Linked DNA regions of Mus musculus. Each later gene encodes a partner of the first gene's protein in a complex. Links are inferred from orthologs where the notes say so. Each region holds a gene or a part of one and is shown on either strand. Other genes may lie near its edges.

Region 1 (4,426 bases):
CCATGACAACCATTTTGGAAAGAGAGGAAAGCGTCCTAGACAACCGAATCAATTGGCTTTTCAAAGGCAGTACTAGAAAATGCCAGTTACTCTAGAGGGCATCAAAAGAACTTATGAGTGCTATGCCTCAAAAAGGAAAAAAAAATCAATATAAAGATAAGTTCTGCCTTAGTCCAAACAAAGCAAGGGGAAAGAGAGACAGTCTGTGGATAGATACCCCACAAAAATTCGGATCCAAGAAAGGATCTTGACTGCTCTATATAGACAGGATGCGGGTGTCCCAGGCTCGACAAAGAGTTCCTATCTCATCCCAAGTCTCAGTTCCACGTCTGGAAACCGCAAGAGGTTTCGAGGCTGAGACCCTAAATTCATAGAACCCCCCCCCCCACCGCGCGCGCGACTGCAACTAGTGTCCGACAGTCCCGAGCCTCCGCAGCGGCGCAGACGCGGTTCAGATTCAGCCCAAGGTCCGCGGAATGCTGCAGTACAAAACCACCAGGGCTCCAGGCCGAGACTCACCAGCCTCTGAGCTGGCCATACTGCCAGGAGAGGTCGCGGCCGGACTCCAAGACGAGAGCGCGGGCGACGGTGTCCCAGAAGGGTCGAACTCGGTCGAGCCGACGGGAGGAGGAGGGGGCAGACACTAGCGAGCGGGGAAGGAGGGGTGGAAGAGGGAGGGACGTTAAAACGGCTTCTCGACGCTGATTGGACAGCAGAGGAGCACTTCCTCGCAGCACGCGCTGAGGCGGCAGTTTGCGGGCTCCAGATACCATTCCCCGCGGTCAAGATCCCGCTTACGGGTTCTCAGATCGGCGGGCAGGGCAGCCAGGTCACCCAGCAGCCCGGCCGATCTCCCCGGGGGCGTTGGAGCCGCGCTTCCGGTGAGTTGGTGGTTTGGTGTTCCTCCGCCGAGAGACCAAGCGAGGAAGTAGTGCGATCCGCCTTGCCCTGGGTCCGATCACGTGATGAGGCCAAGCTCCGCCTCCCTGGTCTCCTTCGGTTATGGGCGTGGGGGGAGTCTGTGGAGACGTAAACATCTTCAAGTAGAGTCGGTGGAATGGCTGGCGCTGGCCATTTTAAGGACCGTCTGGCCACGGGGAAGCAGCTTGTCTGAGGTGTAGCGAGACGAGAGACGGCGGTGTCGCCAAAAGGGCGTCGGGGCGAGGCATTCTAGTGGTGTCACCCAGTCGTGAAGCGAGTAATAAACGGGCGCCGGGGAGGGAGCGCCCGCCCGCGGAGGGGGAGGGGCGAGAACATGGCGGATTCCGGAACCCGGGCGGGCGGGCGTTGAGGGCCTCCGAGCCAGGGGGGCGGGGTGATTAGGTCATAGAGCGGCTCCCAGCGTGCTTTGCGGCGAGGAGGCGGTCCAGACTATAAAAGCGGCTGCCGGGACGCAGCCGGCACCTCATTCATTTCCATCGGTCCTTGCCCTCGCAGCTCCGGCCCTCGACACCACCGGCCCCTCCGCTGGTGACGCCCCCGCAGAGGCTTCGCCGTCGCCGAGGCCTTCTCTCCGCGACTCGTCGCCGCAGGATTCTACTTTCACTGGGTTCCGCCCGCACACCGCCACCATTGACGCCATGTCGAGTTATTCTAGTGACCGAGACCGCGGCCGGGATCGAGGGTGAGTGTGACAAGAGACCTGTCAGGCCGGGTGGGGGATGGGAGAGCGGCGCGGCCGAAGGCTCGCCTTCCCAACCGACCTTTAGATTTTTTTTTTTCCCTTCCTGAAAGGAGGCCTGGCTTTTGTCACACGTCCGGTTAAAAGCCGTTAAAGGCTACGCTTCGGGTAATGGCGTTCAACCTTTTTTTTTTTTTTTTTTTTTTTTTTTTTGGTCCGGGAGGGTGGGCCGGGACCCGGGGCGGCCCGGCGACCTCGCGGCTGTTGAGGGAAACCCGGAGGAGTGTTTTCGGTCGGGAAGCGCCGCGCCTTTGAGGCGGTTCCCGGCGTCGTTTGCGCAATCTTTCGTTGGGTTGTTTTTTGAGGGGGGCCCCCCCTTCCGGTATCCCCGGGGGAAAGAAGGGGCGCTTTCGAGGTCCCCTGTGCCCCGTTGGGTGGCCTACGCCGGCGGATTCGGCCATGTGGCGGAGCCGCAGCCACAAAATGCCGGCCTCGGACATGGCGGCGGCGCCTTTGTTACCCCGCCCGGCGGAGGAGCTCAAAATGGCAGCGGCGAGAAAATGTGGCGCAGAGAGAAATGCGAGACAAAGAAGGAAGCGCCGCCCCAGCGGGAACGCCGCCCGGGCCGGGACTCCTCCCCCGGTTGCTTTCGGCTCCTCCTCTTTTTCTCCCTCGCGTTATATAATTTTGTTACCTTGGTTTGCAGCCGTTCGCGGCGTTTCCCTAGACTCGGCTCGCTGGCGCCTGTTCCCCTTTCTACCCTGTCCGCCGTGCTAGCCTCGTTCAGCTGCTCACATTGCCTTTGCGGCCCCGTTATTTCTTTAAGATTAGGTCCTTTGATGAAAACGGGCAAAAATAACCTTCCTAAGCTCCTCCCTTCTTGCCCAGCTCCTAGACGCTAATGCCTAAGCTCTGTGGGGAGAGAAGATGGAGGCTCTAACTCTTGTCCTTGTAATCTGGTCAGATGTTTGGGCTGTTTGCCACCTGATAAACCCACGATGTTTATTTGGCCTCAGTAGAGTGTGCTTGGGACTTCAGAAAAGAAACGCTGCCAGTTGTGGCTGTCCTTAGAATGACAGTTGGGAAGGATTCCAGAAGCACACTTTGGCTCTATCAAAAGGCAGCAGATGAAATGTGAGGGCAAACCTGTTCATGCAGTATCTTTCACAATGTGCCCAACTTTTGTTTTGTGTGTGTGTAGGTTTGGTGCACCTCGATTTGGAGGGAGTAGAACAGGACCCCTCTCTGGAAAGAAGTTTGGAAATCCTGGGGAGAAACTAGTTAAAAAGAAGTGGAATCTTGATGAGCTGCCCAAATTTGAGAAGAATTTTTATCAAGAACACCCTGATTTGGCAAGGCGCACCGCAGTGAGTTTATAAATGTGGCTTCTTCATGCTGTAACTCAGTAACTGCTTCTAGTCAATTAGATGGAAATGTAATAGGTGCCTTGCAAATGGAGAGTTGCTTGTGGTGCACTTCCATTGAATTTTTCTTGTGATATATGGTGCCCTATTTTAATCCTGTCACTGGGGAAACAGGTTTAGCAGTCTATTGGGCTTCATAGAGACTCAATTTTCATTTAAATAAGTATTATAAATTAATTATTAATTTTTGTTGCCAAGTAGAGTTCTTATTTATGGGTCCAGATTTTTAGAAATAAGTATGTTTAAAAGTTTATTGAGCTATAGGGAGCATGGCAGAAGTCTGAGGCTGAGATAATTTGTTTTTCAGCAAGAGGTAGATACATACAGAAGAAGCAAGGAAATTACAGTTAGAGGTCACAACTGTCCAAAACCTGTTCTGAATTTTTATGAAGCAAACTTTCCTGGTAAGGACTAACTTTCATCTTTATCCTTTCATTTCCCCCCCCCCCCTTGCTTATAAATTTGTTTTTAAAATGGTATTGTTGGTTGCAGCGAATGTCATGGATGTGATTGCAAGGCAGAACTTTACTGAACCCACTGCTATTCAAGCTCAGGGCTGGCCAGTTGCTCTCAGTGGATTGGATATGGTTGGAGTAGCTCAGACTGGATCTGGGAAAACATTATCTGTAAGTCTAGGAAAACTTGATAAATTGTGGCAGAGGTGACCTTAGATATATAACTATTTTAATCCAATTTCTATTATTTTTACTCTTCAATAGTATTTGCTGCCTGCCATTGTACACATAAACCACCAGCCATTCCTAGAGAGAGGTGATGGGCCTATTGTAAGTATTATCTTAAGTTTCCCACCATATTTGCTAAAACTCCTTTGACTTTCATATAGGGAATATAGGGTTGCCAGTATAAACTAGCCACTTAAAATTAGTATCCAGCCCAGGCGTGGTGGCACACACCTTTAATCACAGCACTGGGGAGGCAGAGGCAGGTGGATTTCTGAGTTCCAGGACAGCCAGAGCTACACAAAGAAACCCTATCTCGGGGGGAAAAAATTAGTATCCAAAGACAGTTAGTTGGATCAGCCAATTATAGATACTTGTCATGAGCCTGATCAAGATCAACTACCACAAGGAGAGACCAACTTGCAAAAGTTGCCTTCTGGTTTCTCCATGTGCTTCCACACACAAAAATTTTATCCTGAGAATAGTGCCTGGGAGGTAGAAACTGGAGAATTCAGGAGACACTGTCTCAAAAAAAAGTCTTATGACCACCTGAATTCTAATTCCCAACACACGAAGACATAGGGTCTTAGTAAACTGTTTTATACTAAACACTTTTTTTTGTTTTTCAAACTTAGTGCTTGGTGCTGGCACCAACTCGAGAACTGGCACAGCAGGTGCAGCAAGTGGCTGCTGAATATTGT
Region 2 (4,503 bases), about 19 Mb from region 1:
GCCACACATTAACAGTTGTAACTAAGCACTGTGACAAATTAGCCATTCTTCCCACATTAGTCCCTATTAAAACAAAAAGGGGGGAAGGGAGCAAATAATTGTTACAAAATGGGCAATTCTACCACAATTGCCAAGGTTTTAAAAAGCAAAGCAATTGTAGCTGAAGATAACTGCATTAAGTGTTTGCAAATCTTTTAAGGTAGATAAATTTTTAACCCTCGCCTTCTAGTATAAGGTCAATACTGCCAATTTCATCTGTGACAATAGCACTTGGAGTCATACCATTGCCTCCATTATTGATCTGATCCTCCTCAATCCTCCTTTTGACAATCCTAAAATGATTGAAATGTGCTCCACAATCCTTAATCCAAAGCATTCTTAATCCATCTCTTCAGATATGTCTACAGAAAGACACATGAAAAGCAAGATAAACATAAGAACTTCCCCCAAGTAAGATAACCACAAACACCCCCAACATCCCATTTCACACAAACCAGAGCAGAATAGACATTTACATAATATCACAGTCTGAAGAGCATGGAAATTAACTAAATTTAAACAATCCTGTCTATGACATCACTTAAAATACAAGTTACCAAAGACATGAGGGGAATGTAGATGTTAGGAGCAAGGGGATATTACACAAGAATGCAATTCAACACTTTAGCCCATTCTGAACAAAACAGCTTGAATTAAAAAAATGAAAAGATTGTACTGAGTAAAGGAAAACTGTATACAACATGGGTTCTACAAAAAGTGTCACCAATCATCTTATGTACGAGAGCGAGATCTGCTATGACGGGGAGAATAGCGTGGTGATCCTCTGCTTCTCCTTGGGGAGTAACTGCGACTCCTGCTGTTGCTTCTGCTACGGCTTCTGCTACGACTACGGCTTCGAGATCGAGATCTTCCATAACTTGGACTTCTGGGCCCATCAACTTTAACCCGGATGTAGGCAGTTTCTCCCTATTGGATAGACAGAACTTTCCATTGAAAGATCTAAGCTTTCACCTGTCTTCAGACAAGCTGAACGAATACAAAGACAGATCAGGGCTCTGGTAATTTACGTGAACACCCTTGCCTGTATCCTTACCTTCAAATTCCACTGTTAAGAAAACTGTATCCAATTCTGGCCAAAAAAAAGAATAAGTGTATAACCTACCTCGTGAGATCTAAACTTAGTGTTATCCAGTTTTCGAACTGCATACGTCATATCTTCTTTCCGTACAAACTCCACGACACCAGTGCCATCTCGGTAAACATCAGCGTAACATACATCACCTGCCTCACGCATGTGATCCTTTAAGTCCTGCCAGCTTCCACTCGGAGGCAGTCCTGAAAAAGCGATTCCCCCTAATTTAATACTACTCATCCTGTCCCACGGCAAACGTGTAAAGTACATTCGAACAAGGATTATTTTAAAATACTTAATGATTGTACTTAAGTGTTTCCAGGTAAAGAGCTGGTAAGAGTCAGATCCAGAGTCCAAATTTATTTGTAAAGGATCTTCATAGGCTAGTACTGCAACCTAATTTGGGTAAATCACCACCACAGTAATCTTTATTTACTAAATTCATCCCAAAGACCGAAGTAGTCCAAGACCCCGTGTGTAAAACAAAACAAAAACAACAATAACAAAAACCTTGCAGTACTCAAAGCAGTCATGCGGGAAAAAGATTTTAACCCGCACGAAGTCAACTCACCAGAGACAACCACTCTGTTCTCGGACCGCCTGGACGGCGGGCCATAGCGGCCTCTCGGGGCGCCGCCGCCTCCACCCCCGCCGCCGCCTCGGCCGGTCCCGCGGCCGCTTCGGGGAAACTCTACCCGCAGCCGGTAGCCGTCGTAGTCGTAGCCGTCGCGACCGTACACCGCATCTTCCGCGTCTCTGCGTGTGATCACAGAAAGCGAAAGGGGGGGGTGATGAGGGGAGGGAGCCGCCGGACCCAGCTCGTTCGCCCGCTCCGGGGGTGAAAAGCCGCGGCCACAGCGCACATGCGCACCCACGGGGCCACACGGAGCCCCACATGCGCCGCATAATAGGGCCGGCCCTTCCCCCACCCAGCACCACGCCGGGCAGAGGCTCCCGACCACCTCGCCGGCCCTCAGCGCCTCGGTTTCCCGCTCCGGGGGCTGCGCATGGGCTCGGGGGGTAGGGGGGACGTCCGAGGCGGCCGGCCACCGGAGACAACGCGCCGCCTCTCGGCTCTCCTGACTCGACTCCTGCAGGGGCGATAGCGCCTCGGAGCCCCTCCTCTCCCCCCATTATGTTCCAAGGCCTCCGAGCCTTCCCCAACTCCTCCACGCTATCTCCTCAAGGCCGCGCACGCCCCACGCTGCCTCACCGCGGGTCCTCGAACTCAACGAAGGCGAAGGGCGGTCCCCCGCGGCGGTTCTTCAGGTCGATGTCGCGGATGGCGCCGTATTTGTAAAACACGTCCTCGATGTCCTTGGTTCGGATATCCGGAGGTAGGTTACCCACGTAGATGCGGCAGTCGTTGTTCCCCGCCGGGCCACGGATCACACCACCTCCCGACATGGCGGCGGCGGCGACGACGAAAAGCGCGGACTCGGGGGGGGGGAAGGAAAAAAAAAAAAAGAGGCCTTCCTACCAAGCCTAGCGTACGGCAGAGCGAGCCCTCAGCGGCACCACGTCTCCCGCGGCCGCTCCAAAATGGCGCCTTTATCAGCTCGGCGCACTGATACCGGGGGGGAGGGGGAGGAAGAGAAGCCGGAGGAAGCGGCTCGTCCCTCCCAGTGCGCAGGCGCACGCCTCTAACGGGTGCTGAGAAGCACGCTCGCGCACGCGCGACGTCACCCTCCGCACGGAGGGGAAAAAGTCCCTCGCGTCCTGGCGGGTTGACTGGCTGCTGGAACGTCCAGGCGTTTAGTAAAAATCACATGCTCTGGTTAAAGCGGTTATTATTAATCCCCACTGAGTCCAGAATCGTCGGCCACCTCGGGGGTAGACCCTCTCTGAAAGCAGCTCGGCGCTCTAAAAAGATTGGGTGAAACCTATCTTGCAAGCGTGTCCCACCATGCTCCGCGGTGGTAACGGCCTTTGGCGGGAAAGGCGCCGCGGGGCGGAGATAGATGACGCTGAGCTGTTGCTCCGGAAACCTGGGCATCTTCTGCACTTCGGTGCCGCCGGCGGGAGTTGCAGGTGATTTCATTTAAAAGCCGAAGCGGAGCAGTGTGGCTTCTGCCTCTGGGAACCTGCGGTGGGCTGCATCTTAGTTAAAGTGTCTAGACGGATCCTCCATATCTATCTAAATGAAAACTGTGCCTTGAGTTTTCCTCTTCCTCCTTTCTAAGGATGAAAAAGGAAGAGTGATAAAACAGTTTAACTGCAGAGCCGAGATCCCGGTTCTGTGCTGGTCTAGGGAGATTATTTATTTATTTGTTTATTTTGCCAAGATTATCTGCAAAAGGATTCTTGCATTGGATACCACAATTTTGCTTCTTTGTTTTGTAATAACGGGAATAGAAGAGCCTTACGTGTGAAATCATACGGCCTTGTAGTGTTGTTAATGAACTCGAATTATAATAAAAGCAAACCAATCTGGACTTAAGCTTGTGTGCCTGAAATCCTATCACTCCGGAAGCTGAGGCAAGGAGGGTCCAGCCTACCCTGTTATACACAGTTCTAGTAAAGGTTATCCCGGAGCCAGGCAGTGGTGGCGCATGCCTTTAATCCCAGCGCTCGGGAGGCAGAGGCAGGCGGATTTCAGAGTTCGAGGCCAGCCTGGTCTACTGAGTGAGTTCCAGGACAGCCAGGGCTATACAGAGAAGCCCTGTCTCGAAAAACCAAAGGGGAGGCGGGGGGAAAGGTTAGCCCGGGACATTCAGGGAAACCCTTTCTATTAAAAATATTGAAAAACAAAACGTTTTCTTGGTGTTGTTTTTGTTTTGGGGTTGTTTTGTTTGAGACACGATTTCTCTGTGTACCCCTGGCTGTCCTGGAGTTCCTGCCTTCTGAGTGCTGGGATCAAAGTCACTACCTCCCAGCTAAAACCAGAGCCTTTCATGATTGGATAGAGACAGCCAGGCGTAGTGGTAAATGCCTCTTGAAGTTTTTGGGAAGCGGAATTTCAGGGTTCAAGGCCAGCCAGAGCTGTGTCGACCCTATCACTAATAAATATGCTAAGTCGGATCCCCACAGGTTCTAAGGGTGATTCTTTATACTGTAATTTTTAGTTTTTAATTTTTATGTTATGCATATTGTGTCTTGGGGTGGTGGGTCATGCCATGGCCCATGTGTGAAAGTCAGAAAATAAGGTGCAGTTCACCACTCATGCCATGTGAGCCCCCGAGATGAAACGTCAGGCTTGGGAGGAGCACCTTAACCAGATGAGTCACTGAGTCATTGCTGCCCCTGGATGTTATCATTTATTTACAACAGTCCAAGGATGTGGGGCTGCTTAAAATGAAACCATTAAATATTAAGACTGGCTGGAGAAATCAAGGACAGTGAGAGTGGGGGAGAGGCAGAAGTGATGTATA

What was found. Proteins that work in one complex are often made in the same cells at the same time.
Region 2: Ddx5 (region 1) and Srsf1 share a complex: the UniProt entries of both Homo sapiens proteins name them as parts of the ribonucleoprotein complex. The link is inferred for Mus musculus from reciprocal best matches to the Homo sapiens genes DDX5 and SRSF1.

What each region holds. Positions count from the first base shown.
Region 1 is NC_000077.6:106,785,471-106,789,896, reverse strand, and holds the start of Ddx5 (probable ATP-dependent RNA helicase DDX5), read left to right. Parts: upstream 1-1,402; 5' UTR 1,403-1,580; coding exon 1,581-1,624; intron 1,625-2,822; coding exon 2,823-2,988; intron 2,989-3,352; coding exon 3,353-3,449; intron 3,450-3,537; coding exon 3,538-3,671; intron 3,672-3,764; coding exon 3,765-3,830; intron 3,831-4,360; coding exon 4,361-4,426. Other genes in the region: Cep95 (centrosomal protein of 95 kDa), read right to left, coding at 520-538. UniProt on the Homo sapiens protein: Involved in the alternative regulation of pre-mRNA splicing; its RNA helicase activity is necessary for increasing tau exon 10 inclusion and occurs in a RBM4-dependent manner. Binds to the tau pre-mRNA in the stem-loop region downstream of exon 10.
Region 2 is NC_000077.6:88,045,875-88,050,377, reverse strand, and holds the start of Srsf1 (serine/arginine-rich splicing factor 1), read right to left. Parts: upstream 3,006-4,503; 5' UTR 2,540-3,005; coding exon 2,346-2,539; intron 1,889-2,345; coding exon 1,704-1,888; intron 1,336-1,703; coding exon 1,163-1,335; coding exon of another isoform or gene 1,109-1,162; exon of another isoform or gene 967-1,108; coding exon 772-966; 3' UTR 1-771. UniProt on the Homo sapiens protein: Plays a role in preventing exon skipping, ensuring the accuracy of splicing and regulating alternative splicing.